2 linked regions of the Oryzias latipes genome follow. The protein of the gene in region 2 interacts with the protein of the main gene of each other region in a biochemical or structural test. Links are inferred from orthologs where the notes say so. Each region holds a gene or a part of one and is shown on either strand. Other genes may lie near its edges.

What was found.
Region 1: the proteins of mlxip (region 2) and mlx form a complex in vitro, tested with the Homo sapiens proteins (2 studies listed by BioGRID, with this or other methods). The link is inferred for Oryzias latipes from reciprocal best matches to the Homo sapiens genes MLXIP and MLX.

What each region holds. Positions count from the first base shown.
Region 1 is NC_019866.2:6,754,330-6,761,621, forward strand, and holds the start of mlx (max-like protein X), read right to left. Parts: upstream 4,314-7,292; 5' UTR 4,211-4,313; coding exon 4,175-4,210; intron 4,125-4,174; exon of another isoform or gene 3,820-4,124; coding exon of another isoform or gene 3,814-3,819; intron 3,318-3,813; coding exon 3,281-3,317; intron 3,151-3,280; coding exon 3,061-3,150; intron 2,717-3,060; coding exon 2,607-2,716; intron 2,525-2,606; coding exon 2,422-2,524; intron 2,133-2,421; coding exon 2,033-2,132; intron 1,709-2,032; coding exon 1,507-1,708; intron 825-1,506; coding exon 768-824; 3' UTR 1-767. Other genes in the region: fmnl1 (formin-like protein 1), read left to right, coding at 5,449-5,625. UniProt on the Homo sapiens protein: Transcription regulator. Forms a sequence-specific DNA-binding protein complex with MAD1, MAD4, MNT, WBSCR14 and MLXIP which recognizes the core sequence 5'-CACGTG-3'. The TCFL4-MAD1, TCFL4-MAD4, TCFL4-WBSCR14 complexes are transcriptional repressors.
Region 2 is NC_019867.2:12,064,479-12,071,949, forward strand, and holds the start of mlxip (MLX-interacting protein), read left to right. Parts: upstream 1-3,272; 5' UTR 3,273-3,546; coding exon 3,547-3,854; intron 3,855-6,186; coding exon 6,187-6,293; intron 6,294-7,323; coding exon 7,324-7,409; intron 7,410-7,471. Other genes in the region: wdr66 (cilia- and flagella-associated protein 251), read left to right, coding at 563-706, 776-1,004, 1,101-1,172, 1,261-1,385. UniProt on the Homo sapiens protein: Binds DNA as a heterodimer with MLX and activates transcription. Binds to the canonical E box sequence 5'-CACGTG-3'. Plays a role in transcriptional activation of glycolytic target genes. Involved in glucose-responsive gene regulation.

The sequences.
Region 1 (7,292 bases), on a different chromosome or scaffold from region 2:
ATGAAACGTCTGCAAACGGAATAATGAAAAGAAGGCAATTATAACCCAAATGGGTTGTATAAAACACATTCTGATCTGCTCAGAAATAAGGCTGAAAAATCCCTCGGTGATGAATTGTGGGGCATTTTTATCTGTTTTGTCCCAATTCAATTCACTATAATGAAGGTTTTTTTTCATTGGTTTGTCAAAACTACATTTAAAATGTGAATTATTTCACATTAAAGTATTTTTTTAAAGGAAATCATGGGGAAGTGTCCCATGGCGTGCACTAAAAGCGCACATAAAAGCCTGCGATGACAAAGTAGTCAAACACTTTCACAACTCCGGAGTGATTCTGTGCTCCGAGCCTCAAACTCAGGCGTAACATGCGCATTCTCCACATGCAATAGTCCTCCACGTGCAGCAGAAACCACCGTTAAACAGTTTGGTGTGGACCATTAAAAAAACAAAGCTGGGGGCATGAAGACACAACTAGCTGCTTGCTACAATATTTGGCAGCATGTTGGGATCAACGCGGACATTTCCTCTAAAAACAAATGCTGCATTTCAGCTTATGAAAAGCTCAGAAACTACTTTCTTTCGCCGCTCGGTCAAACACACCTGGTCATCTCCGCTCCAACCTCCACGAGGCTTCTTGAAGGGGGAATCCTCCGGCAGCCCTGGAGTCCCGGAGGAGCTAGAGTGGGAATAACTGCAGCACAGCCTCGCTGAAAACGTTTTTTTTAGTCATCTTGAGAGTCTGTTTTGGGGAGTTAAAGTCTCTTTGATCAGTAAAGCTGAACATTAATCTGCCGCAGGACGCCAACAACAAACTCCCGCAACGTCTACAAAAAAAAAGAAGAAAGAAATAGGAAAGTCTGAATAAAGACTCATTAGTTTTGTCTGTTTTCTACGACGCAGTATTAGGGCCACCATAAAACATTTACGAGAATAAAGTTGGTGAATTAGGAAGAAAATAGTTGCTTTTTCTAAAATACAGGCTGATTGTGTAAGCTTCTGACTAAATCCATCAATCACTTATGCCGATGCCATAAGGTTTTAGTTGAACATAGGAATCCATGTGCTATAATGCAGCTTTACTGTCGACGGCGTCAACGGTTCGCCCGCTAGAAATCTACACCTTATGGGTCAAGAATCTTTGAAGAGGCCCAGTTTCCTGCACAATGTCCTTCTAGTTCTAATAAAACGATGTTGAATCACTAAAAGACTTCCTTATTTGCTGAAGTAAATGTGCTCTACGTCTCTGAAACAAGATTTTGTTGCTTTTTGCTTATATTTTTCTTGGTAACAGACTTTAGCCTCATAAATTTATGACTACAATCTTGTAAACTTAATATATCTATTTTTTAAATAACAATTTGACTCTTTTACTTGTGATTTTATGACTTTTCTCTTCATTTTACCACTTTATGCTCGTAAATGTCTTTATTTGTTTGTTTTGATGGTGGCCCCAATACTCTGTCGTAGTTTTCTAAGCACAAACGCTAAAAAAGCAATATTTGGTACCTGTGGTTTGCAGTGCTCTTCAATCCAGCTAAAAACACAAGCAGACAGTTCTTCGAAGCTGCTGACTGAGACGGAGTTGCTGAAGGACACAAACAGGGAGTCCATGATGCTCTGAAAGATGTCAAACTTGACCTGGTCAGACACCTGATCCTCTCCCTGTTGTGGATTGCTCTGATGAGCCTTTACTATGTGCTCATAGTTCCTTCAAAAAAACAAAACAGACAGTATTTATACCACTAAAGGTTGACAGCAGTTATGAATTTAACAGTTTACTTCAGTTTCTATTAGATTATTGAAGCTAAAAAGGTCCTGGAGAAGAAGAAAAAACAAACTATGATACAAAAATGATGTTTTTTTCAACAAAACTTTACATTAGAAAAGGGGCAAGAACTTAAAAAAAATCAAAATCTCTTAATGCAAAAAAAACAACAACTATATTTTTAATCCAAATAAAGGCAGAGTGTTGACAAACTATGAGGAAGACTTAAGTAGGAAAAGGTGGTATGTCATTATAAGCTGCTCTCACGTTTTCATTATCTTAAGTGCCATAACTTCTTTCCTCAGGACAGAGACTTCCTCCTCTTGCTTCTTCTTTTCTTTATGAAGAAAATGAATGTAGTCAATAGCTAAAAAAAAAAAAAAGAATCAGAGCATTGTCAGTTAGTTTCTTCATACTGCTTTTTATGGTTTTTGCATCTATTTTGTGACCATAAAGGTAACTGAAACTAGATCGTGTTATCAGTTTTTAAATGTGTTTAGTGGAAACTACCATCTCACATTTACCTGACTGTCTGAAAATAACCTCACTTTTAGCATTACAGGTGTTTCAAATATAAAAAGAATAAATACTTTTACAAATGTAAAAGAACAAATGTTATCATCCCACTATTTCAATAGGTTTTGAGTAAATCTTACTTTTCTGCAGGATTGTAGCTTTGCTGATCTTCTGTGCTCCTACGGCAAACTCAGACTGCTGTTGACAGGTTGGAACAATTGACTGAAGATCATCATAACCTTTCTGAAATAAAAGTAAAGAAATATATACGAGATCAGATATCTGGAATTTTAAAGACAGTGACGCGATTCTTCTGCGGTCTCACCTTGATGGCATCTCTGCGCTTTTGCTCAGCTTGTGTGTGCGCTTGTCTCCTTCTGTCTTTATACGAGTCTTTAAGCGACGTCTCGTGTCTGTAGTCGCTGTCCTCATCATCTATTTTGGAATAAATTAAACTATTGTGACCCGACTCTGTTTTTGTGCTGTCGATCAAATTATAAAAAGCATTTCAATAAATACAAGAGTCAAATCTCAAAGTGGCCTCATGGTTCTATTGGGATGTTAGCATGTTTTTATAAACATTTCTCACCAAGAAAAAGTATATTAAATACTTTTAACCAAAGAATTTAGTCTTCCAGAAAAGGGTAGATAGCACAATTGTGGATTGAAAAGAAAAACAATAAAGTAATTTCCTATTATTTTCATTTATGATGACAGAGTAAAACTTTTGATTGATATCAAAACAGACTGGATGTCGATTTAAAAGACTCTAAAGCTACCAGTATTTGGTACTGAAGAGGCACTTGTTGACCCGATGCTGTTTGCTCTGGACACCACACTTCCTTTTCTGGCTGTTTCAATATAGAAACCTGCAAATATAAGCATAAATGTTTAGAAATATGACAAAAATAAGACATAAACAAAAAGAAAACCAATCCGAAAAAGTTGTTTTCTCACAGGCAGGATTTGATTTAAAAACAAAACCCAAAAACTACTCACTTTGGTCAAAGCCACCATCGCTGAAAGCACCATCTGTCTGCGCAGCCATCATAAAGAAGCAGGAGAAATGGACAAAAAGCGGTGGGTTTACCATTATAGACCAAAAAAAGAAAAGAAAGTGTGCTGTTCTAAATACTTTGATTACAAAGACCAGAACACCCACTGAGGATTGTCCTGGTTTAACACATTCAAGCAGGGAGAACACAACTCGTTCGATCGCAATTTAGTTAAAATTTAGGACAACAACAAAAGAACAGGTAAACTTCACAATTAGTGATTTTCTAGTGGCTCCCTCTTGAATGGTACTTTCAGCATCAAAGTTAAGCTGACATATAAAAAAATACAATTAATCTACTGTAAAGTCAAGATTCAAAGGTTTTTTAACATCAAAAATATCTCTTAAAATTTTACTTAGTGGCACTGGTACCAAACCTGACAAAACAAACTACATGCATTAGCTTAAATGTAAAGGCAGACTACTAGTACTTCTTCGTTATGAAATCTTGACAGAAACCAAATTTTCATTTTCCTACCGTCATTGTACACACAATGAAACCGACTCTCTCTCCGTTCTTTTGTTTAGATATCTACGGTTTTGCTGACCCAAGTGTATTTTTTTCATGTGCATGAAGACTTTTTAAAAACTGAATTAACCCGAGTTTTCCGGTAGCTTTGTTTACTTAGCTAGCTTGCTTTGCTAAGCACTTCAATGTTGCTTAACGTCACTAAGCTAGTTAGCCGCGAGGCTATTATCAAAGCACCGTTTCCACTTTACTTCCGCGTTTTGACAGCCGAGTCAGTTATAACTGCCGCCCCCAACAACACAGACCAAGTAATTATTTAAAAAAGTAAAGTTTGTGATAAGTTAAAATCTGGTTCATAAGAGTGACTTACTTTCCAGTGTTCCTCTGGGGATGTAGGATCCGTCATTTTGGAAGGCTGAAAAAACTAATAGTGGTGTCGCATTCACGTGTCACTCGTAAATTAAACTGCTTTGTTAGGAATGAGATGCGTTCATATTTCAAACCATCAACATTTAAATAATACTTTAACTATAAATATAAATACTTTATATATGTATGTGTTTTGTATACAAGTAGTTTTTTTGTTTCTGTGATTAATTAGTAAGAAGATACTTTTAAATGTTTTACCTTTTGATGTAATATGTAACTGACGTAATTTTTGGTAAAAATGTAGGCACCTATTGTTCAAACTTCAAGTATTTGTCACATATATTTATTTATTCCTTTAACTATTTATATACACAACAATGTGAATGTTAGTATCATTCATAACGAAAATTTCATACTGATCTCAAATGTTGCACGGCTATATGCAGTGATAATCTTTAAACGCAGGAGGTCGCTGTTTCTCAGTTTTAAAACCAGTATTCAACTTTAGCTGTTTGACCCGTGCGACCTCCAAAACAAACCTGTCTCAAGCTAGAGTGGAATAAACAGCTCCAGTTTATAGATTTAGCTTTAAATGATTAATAAGCTGCAGACAATTCTATTGTTGGTTTAATTTTGTACATTTGCATGTTGTAATTGTGTCTTTATTTCTGGTTACCATGAGCAATGTAGTTCTTTTCTTTTGCTATGTGTTGTTTATTTGTTATGTACCTTTTTATATTTGTGATCCGAATAACGGATGCAGTTTATCTTCCACCCTGTCCTCCACCTCAGGTTCTGCTGCACTCATACACAGGAAGTTACTCTTCTGCTTTTCTGCTTCTGTGGTTTCTGTCTGTGTTTCACACTCCCCTCTCCTTCCTCTCATACAGAGGCGTCTCTGCCTTATTCAGAGAAGTTTTCAACCTGTGTAGAAATAGTTCATGAGAGTTGGGTACGTCTTTTCTTAGAGCACGCAGGCCTAACAAGGCTATTGTCTTGTTCTTGTTGGCTCATGTAGACAGACAAGTTTCTGAGCGGACAAACATGAAGACAACCCTCGTTTTTTTCATCACTTATCCTGTCTTGAAGACAGGACGCAATTTAGAATAAATGTTCTTCACCTTAAAGGCACAGGACTTGATTCATCTTAGACCTTCCTGTTTTTGTCATTTAGAGTGACCAACTTTTTGTCACTCTGCTCTGGAATACACCAATTTTCCTCGGAGAAAGGGTTTGTGTAAAGCTTTCCTCCTGGATTACTTTTGGAGATTAGTGATGGGGAATGCGGCGGCAGGGGGCTTGGAGCAAGAACCTGCTGACGGCCGGGACGCCAGGATCTCGGTTTCGGCAATGAGTGATCCCGCACTTGTCTTGCAGAAGAAACAGTCGGCTCCCCCAAAACTTCCCATGCCTCCGGAGGAGGAGCTGGAAGAACGCTTCAATGTGGTCCTGGTGAGTGGTTCTTGTTACTCACACTTTCACCAAATGCAGAGACACTACAGTCCAAGAAACCTGTTGTTAGGAAGGTTATTTGGAATCACATAAATAAGAAGTTTGATCTAATATAACCTTTTAATGTTTAGTCTTGTGTGTTGGGTTGTGTACAGCATTTCTGCACCTGCCAAGATGCTTGTTATTGTTTGAAATCTTAATAATTTTATGTTTATTCTCAGTGTTTAAACTCTAAAACTGACCTACAACCTGAGAGTTTGTACATTTATAAAAATGGATTTGAGTAAACATTTAACTTTTTTAATATACTTGAAACCGACACACGGTACGTAAAGGGTGATCAGAACACGCATGGGCAGCTGGTCATAAGGGGGAAGTTGAGCAATACGTTTACATGAAAAAAGCACAGGACCGGAAAGCGAGTGTTTCACCACCCGATCAACACCCATGCAAGTCGAAAAGTTCAACAACAAAACCCCAAGATCGCCCGCCATTTGTGTTCAAAAACACCAAAACCAAGACAATTTAAAATCCAATTTATCTAAGGTTTTTTATAAAAGATATTTGCTCTATAATTTGTTTTCTTTGTAAACACTTTAAGCTACTATCATGTTAAGATCTCCTCTGTGAGGGTTGAACCTTTTTCTGTACGAAAACCCCAGACCGCACACTGCATTTACTTCACCAACAGTTTTGTGTCACGCTGTGTGGCTGAAAAGTTTGCTGAGCAATACACACCTGCCACTCCTGCCATAAACAACACAACTTTGACAGAAATGAAGCAAATTATGCAACCATAGACTCTTAAATATTTTTTAACAAAAAGGGGGAAAAACCCACTTTCAAAACTTCAGCAACAGATCCCCACAGTTTCTAAATACAAGTGCTGATGCAACACACAACGAAGCACAGGCTGAGCACAAATTTTGAGTATTTTCAAAACGATATCGTGAAAAGATAAATAGTATATTTATCACGTTTTCTTTTATTTTTATATTTAACATTATCCTTTACTTTTTTTTTCTGTATATCTAAAATCCAAGAATCCATCAGATTCTAGACTAAAGTCGGTTTTTAGTATTTTTATTTTTAACGCTTGATGCATATAAACATGGTTTAATATTTAAAATTCACATTTTTACTCTTTTATTTATGACAAAACAATATACCTGTGGGGCATGTTTGGGGTTATAGGTTTATTGATATTTGCATACCAAATGGTGTTAAAAAAAAAACAGCATTTTGCCAAACTCGTTTCTGCCTGCTCCACCCTTTCTGAATGCATGACCTCACTTCTTCTTTCAGAACCATTTTTTCAAATGTAAACTCAAGACACAAGCCAATGATTTTGCATCACTAGCCTACTCGGGGAGAAAAAAAAAAGAGAAAAGGGCACTCTACGTCAATTCATGTAAACTAAAAAGTGAACGACATCATATTTTGGTTAGTCTTCCACCACAGAGGCCACAGAAGGGCTCCTCCTTTACCAGACCTAGTTTGACACCCTTGCACCAAAACAGGAAGGCATTTTCAGTCTAACGGCTTCTTAACAAAAACAGTGAAACTGCAAACTACTGTTAAGGGATTGATAGAAAGGCACACCCAGTATCAACTTGAGATTTTTTTCCTGTCAGCAAGTTGCATGTTTGAAGGTTGGAAATACCTGA
Region 2 (7,471 bases):
CTTAGTTTTCTTTTTTGTCGGCCGATCATTTTCTTTCCTAACAAAAAGTAGTCCATCACTTCCAAGAGCAATTTAGTGTCTTCTCTGTCACTGGTACACTCTATAACAAAATCATCAAGCTATTCTGAGAGATGATGAGACTTTAAATTGCACAGGAATTATGAGTTGTAGAAAATGAAAAATTTGGAAAGAGTTCAGTCATCTCAGCTGATCCTGTCCCAACCATTTTCTCAGGCATATCACCCTTTCCTTCAATAAGTAATCAATCCAGTTGCAAAGACCTCCTCCATGTGCATTTTCGGGAACTACTTTACAGCAGTGAAAGCTGAATAGTGTTGAAAAAATTCAGAACATCCCAAACAGTACCATGATCTTCTTTGAGTCACAAGCCTCTACCGACTGCAACGACTGGAAACATTTTTTTTTTTATGTAGAGAAATATTTATGTTTATTTTAAAGGGAAATCCTCATATTTATACATGCAACACAATAAATATCAGAAAAGCCCCATATGAATGTCAGAAGTGATGATTAAATGTATAAAATGTGTTTGTTTCCTAAGGATATGGAGGATTTTTTCTACTACTGTCAAATCCGTCACTATGGCTCCAGCTTGATGAGGAAACAGCCAAAGCCAACAGAAATTCCTCTGTCAGAGGTTCCCTCCTTAATGAGAGCTGTGGGCTACTTTCCTACTGAACAAGAGGTATGTCATAGAAAACATCAGCAAATTTTATCCTTCAAAACGAAACGGTATGTTGTTTTTTTTCACCAGATAGAAGACATGCAGAACGAGATCAAGTTCAGCAGGTTTGCTGAAACTGGAAAGTATGTAACAGACATTGACTTACAGGAGTTTATCAAGTTGTACGTCAACCACCGGCCAGCCTTTGGCGCCCCTAGCAATGAACTTGTTCAAGCTTTTCACGTTCTTGCTAAGAGCAACAGTACAGGACAACCTGTTCTGCAGAGACAGGAGCTGCTAGAACTTTTACAGGCTCGAGGTACGTTTAAATCAGAAAAAAATGTTCTAATGTATTTCTGCTGTCTTTATAACTTGCATGATGCATGTCTTATACAATTTTTTTTCTTACTGATAGGGGAACAGATGACCATGAACGAGGTGGAGGAGTGTTTTACCACACTTTTAGGCCTCAAAAAAGAAGAAATTTGTAGGCATAAAAATTATGACTTCAATTTAAAAAATAAAACAAATAGAAATACCTGAAAGAGTAAACAATCTTTAATTTTCTCTTGCAGGTGAAGAACATTTACTGGAGAGAGAATTACCAGAGGAGATTTCAATGGAGATATTTACAGATCACATCTTGGGCTTTCCTCAATCAAACAGGAATGAAGGAAGCAGATCTCCTCCACCACAGTGATTAATAAGACAAGAAGTCACAGCGGGCTGCATACACGTTATCATTTTGACTTTACTTTTGTTCCTTTGTGGGTTTTTTTTTTAAACAGGTTCCAACAACTATCATTGTTATAGTTCATGTTTGGAGTGCCAGCACAAGTTTAAAGGTGGTGATTTCAGTGGTTGAAGTCAATCAGGAAACCGTACACACAGTTTTTAGAAAATGTTAGGGGGCACATATTAATGAATTTATGTCAGGAATCTATTGAAATTTGAATATAGAGGCATTTGACCAATGTCTGGACTTTGGACATGCCTGTTGAAAACATTTCTACCACAAAGGGCTCTGTAAAAATAAACCAACCACTGACAAGGAAGACAAAGGTAAAACAGAATACACAGCTGATAGTCCTACTGAATAGACTGTTAGAATTAGTATTATGGCAAGAAAAAAGCAGCAAAGTACAGAAAAACTAGTGTCCATCATTACTTTAAGAAATGAAGATTAGTCAGTCCAAAAAATTAGGAAAACTTTGAAAGTATCCCCAAGTGCAGTCACTAAAACCATCAAGCGCCACAAAGAAACTGTCTCACATGCGGACCGCCCCAGGAAAGGAAGACCAAGACTCACCTCTGCTGCAGAGGATGAGTTCATCCGAGTCACCAGCCTCAGAAATGGCAGGTTAACAGCAGCTCAGATTAGAGAGCAGGTCAATGGCACACAGAGTTCTAGCAGCAGACACATCTCTACAACAACTGTTAAAAGGAGACTGTGTGAATCAGGCCTTCATTGTAGAATGTCTGCTAGGAAACCACTGCTAAAGAAAGGCAACAAGCAGAAGAGACTTGTTTGGGCTAAAGAACAAGGAATGGACATTAGACCAGTGGAAATCTGTGCTTTGGTCTGATGAGTCCAAATTAGAGATTTTTGGTTCCAACCACTGTGTCTATGCGATGCAGGTGAAGGGATGGACTCTACATGCCTGGTCCCACCAAGAAGCATGGAGGAGGAGGTGTGATGGTGTGGGGGTGCTTTGCTGGAGACACTGTTAGGGATTTATTCTAAATTGAAGGCATACTGAACCAGCATGTCTACCACAGCATCTTGCAGCGGCATGCTATTCCACCTGGTTTGCGTTTAGTTGGACCATCATTTATTTTTTAACAGGACAATGACCCCAAACACATCTCCAGGCTGTTTAAGGGCTATTTGACCAAGAAGGAGAGTGATGGGGGGCTGTGCCAGATGACCTGGCCTTCACAGTCACCTGAACCCAATCGAGATGGTTTGGGATGAGCTAGACCGCAGAGTGAAGCCAAAAGGGCCAACAAGTGCTAAGCATCTCTGAGAATCCTTCAAGACTGGTGGAAGACCATTTCAGGGGACTACCTCTTGAAGCTCATCAAGAGAATGCCAAGAGTGTGCAAAGCAGCAATCAAAGCAAAAGGTGGCTACTTTGAAGAACCTAGAATATTACATATTTTCAGTTGTTTCACACTTTTTTTGTTATGTATATATTCCACATGTGTAATTCATAGTTTTGATGCCTTCGGTGTGAATGTACAATTTTCATAGTCATGAAAATAAAGAAAACTCTTTGAATGAGAAGGTGTGTCCAAACTTAGCATTGCGTGCTTTAAAGCTCACTGACGTGCTAACTGAAATTTATATTCTTAGACTATCAAATTAAAAAATCCACCCTTAGCCAAGCCGCCATAAAAAGAAGAAAAACAGGCGGCAAATTAGAGTGAATGAACTCCGTTAAACTACGTTTGAAGGGTCATCAGTGCAGAATAATCACGGGTATGCCTTCAAAACAGTTGAAGAACAACCTGTCGCTTCGTTTTATTTTTGGCCCTCCGAGGGTGGGTGGAGCTCTGACGTTGACCAATCAGAGACGGTTTAAAACAGGAACTTCCTGCTCTGGGCAGAGGAGCAGTTCTTTGTCAGCTGGTCTTTTAGACTAGTAATTTCGTCGGCTGTCTTAAAAGATAAGTTAACTTGGAACGCTCATGACCAATGAGAATACTAAACATGGGTGAAGTGATGTTTCTGGTTCCATAAGTTGAGACGGACATACGTGGACAGTTAAGATGAAAGGAAGAGTTTTATTTTCTTAGCCTGCTAGCTTAATGCTAGTTATTTGTCTGGGGAATTGTCGACATTCATTGCAACCAGGGAGATGTCTCTACGGCAGACTTACCGCCGCGCGACCGCTAGCATAAAGCAGGAGCAGGATGACGACTCGGATACGGAGGACTCTCACCTGGAGCTTCTCAAAGTGGAAGGGCTGGAATCTCAAATCATCCACAGCGGACACTTCATGGTGTCTTGGCCCCACAGCGAGCACCCTCCGAAGAAAGGCTACGACTTTGACACTGTCAACAAGCAGACCTGTCAGACGTATCACTTCGGCAAGACGAGCACGTCGCACCTCTCCATAGACGCGTCCCTCACTAAACTCTTCGAGTGCATGACCCTTGCTTATAGGTAAATCACAACACACATTGCCTGCTGCGCATTGACGCAGACAATTTCACTTTTCCTTTCAGTGCCGGGCTTGCTTTGGTCCAGCTGATGGGCTCGGAAAAGCACCATCAAGTCTTCTATCTTCCAACTGTAGAGAGGTTTAAAAAGTTCTTACAAATAGGCGAAACAAACATTTATAATTGTGTCTTCACACGCATAAGATCCAACATAATAAATATGTGGATAATTTTCTTTAAAGCTGGTTTTATTTATTTAAAAAGGTTATTTAGAATGTCAGAACCAGAAGCCTTTATTGTCATTTATTATACATAATACAATGAAATTTTAGCAGCCTTGGATTGGTGATACTATAAATTTAAATCAAAATATGTACAGGTAACCAATAAAAAATACAAGTATAAAAAAAATGGAATAAAATAGAGTTCAGTAAAGTGCAGCATAAACATGGATAATTTTGAAGCATGTAAGATCTTCTTAGTTTTATTAAAAGTTTGACATTGAATCAGTTTAAATACCCTTTAAGATGCAAACTGCTTTTTGTCACCGGACAAATTTAATTTTTGAATAGAAAAAACAAATTATATTTAATTTAATGTCAGATAAAAGCAAGCTCAATCAGTAATTTAGACAAAATCAAAGTTCCTTTTAAACTGGTTTGTTAAGTCATAGGTATATATTGCATTAACTTATCAGAGAGCATTGTTTTTATTTATATGTCTGCCTAAAACTTCAGACTTTTGGGTTTTTAAGGAATTTCTTAAAATAATTCATTAAGCGACAAGAAACATATTAGTTTCTTTATACAATAGAACTACACAGTCATTAGGACACTTGTGCTGTGCCCAGACAAGTTTTCAGCAGAGCCTCTGTTCTAACTAACCATACAGTCACTGGAGCTGAATAAACACCGGCAGACGTAATCCTGCATTTATTACATTGGGCACTTTAGCGGTGGAGCTGTGGATTATGTCAACAAATACAATTCAGTGTCATTTCTTATAGTTTTTTTTTTTTTTTTTTGTAAAAATGGACATTTTCAACCTTCTGTTATTCATGTAACATAAAAGCTTAAAACACTTGCCTTTAAATAAATAGCCTCAGAGACAACAGTGATGTAGATACTAATGGACAAAATAAAAACCCTTGCTAAAAATACAATTACAAAGTTGATGTTTGAGCATCTCATCCCCATCTTTCAAACCGCAGCCTCCCTGCAAAGCAGAATCAGTTTCATCACTTGTATTTATGATCCTAACCACTTGCCGTACTCTCAACCCAAAGCTTAGGCCTGATTGTCTGAACTCTCTCTTCACTTCATCCAAACTTTCCCTGGTCTTTCATCAATAGTTTCAGTAGTTTTATTTTCTTGACTTAGACTATTGAAGCAACAAAAGGATGCAGCCGATGATTTCTCCCCAAACATAGCGGGAAAAAGACTGCTTCCAGCTGCACTGAAGTATTTTCAGTTTTCTAGGGGAAGCTCTTACCCGTTTTCTTAACCCTTGTGCTATCTTATCTGACCCCACCCTTACTTTGACGTGTTCTCCCTACCATGACAAAGGTGGATAAAGGTGGAAAGATTTCATGTAATCCATGGACACCAGTGAAGATCACAAATCATTGAAGAAAAAAGGTTCAGAGCACTGTCTAGTGGGTCTAGATGACCCAACTCCCAACATTAAAGTGCCTAGGATAGTACAAGGGTTACAGTGTTTGAAGTAGTGCATCTTTAAAAGTACATATTCTAAAAGCTCTACGTCTCTGTAAAGATGTAACTCTCGTATGAATTTTAAAAGTGCATGTACAAAGTTCATGGTATCCATGCTTTTTACAGCTGTGCTGTTAGCGGCGTCATGACAAGCTGCTCTGAGGATTCCCTCAGACTCTGCAGCAAGTTTGGCTTTCTAGAAGAACTATTAATAGAACAGTTGCTGTTATGCTGCTGTCATTCATCCTATAAAAAGTTACATGTATTTATGCAAGGATGAAATGCATGCTTCCTTACAACTTTTTCATCTAAAATGTTTTGGCCAATTAACAGCTTTTCCGTCTTTGCATCGTCAAACATTAAAGGTACTCAAATTTTGTTGATTTAAAAAAAATCAAACTGAAACAAACTTGACAAGGACATATTGTATTGAATACAGAGCAGAAAGGATGAAGAGAGGGGAAATGTTGTGAGCTGTTTTTGTGATGAGCTTTGTCCTTCATTTGTATAGACTAACGGTCAGTCCACAGTATATTCTGCTTATTCCAATTTTAGCTTCTCAGTTACATACACAAGCTTTTTTTAAATTACATTTAACAACTTTCTCTTGTTTATTTATTTTAGTGGCAAACTGGTGTCTCCTAAATGGAAGAACTTTAAAGGTCTAAAGCTGTTATGGAGAGACAAGATTCGCCTCAACAATGCCATATGGAGAGCCTGGTATATGCAGTGTAAGAGGGCACCTTTTGTCTTTTCATTTGTCATATCTAGAATATGTGTATGCTGATGTCAGGAGCTAGATTTTATTTTTTAATTTTTTTTAGATAATCGCAGAGAAAATTCTACTTAGGTGTATGAAATCCTCATTACTAGTTTGTAAACTGTAACATTTCAAGATTCAAAGACCCACTTCAAGGAAAATCATGTTTTCAACATGCTCGTGTAGCATTTTTCTCATGATGGAGGCCGTGTCTAAAGAAAATTAAGCTAAAAATTGCATGTATGAGTATTTCTTCATTCGAGGGAGCAGAAGAAAAAATGCAGCTGGAAAAAGCTTGAAGCTGTGACGTAGGTGCTACAGTTGGTGAGTGACGAGCTCCCTGCTCCGCTCCATTCCGATGCCTCCACTTGCAGACGCATAGATCCGTGTACCGGTACGACTTTATTTTCCTGGTCTGAGCTGGTCTCTGGATCATAACTGTACAGCTGCATAGCTCTAATGTTGCTCACCCTTTTTGTTGCTCCAGTAACGTTAGGTTGGGCTTATGGGGGGCTGTAAGCTAGCGGGAGAGTGTAAACACATGGATGAAATGCTAATGGGTTTTTCCAGTGCCAAATGTCCCGCCCGTGACTTGGAGGAGAATTTCTAATGAACTCCTGCCGTTCTTCAGAAACTATGTTCTAGACGCAGACAACGTTTATTTTGGCTAAAAACGACAATCCTCATTAATCCTCATCACTGGGAGCACTGTTAAAATGGATCAAAAGACGATTGGAGTGGGACTTTAACTCTTTATGTTTAAAATCTGCTTGTTACAGCATGTAAAACAAAGTATTTAAAACCCTATGTATAGATTGATATAAATATTTGTGCATTCTTAAACCCATCAGGTTGTGTTGGTTCTCGTGTAAGTTTTATTCCAGTTTTAGGCAGGCTGTAAATGTGTGCGTGATATGATTAAAGCTGAGTCTGTGAGACAGTTGACATGTAGTTTTTATTGTTAGTATCTTGTATTTTTAGTCATTTTTCTCTTTGCTCAGATGTGGAAAAGAGAGAGAATCCGGTTTGTCACTTTGTAACGCCTCTGGATGGAAATATGCACTTAGATGTTCACCGAGCTGCAGAGGTAAGGCTTGAAGACATTTTGACTCAAATCTTCTTTCAATTTCCAGTTCTGTTTTCTTTGTT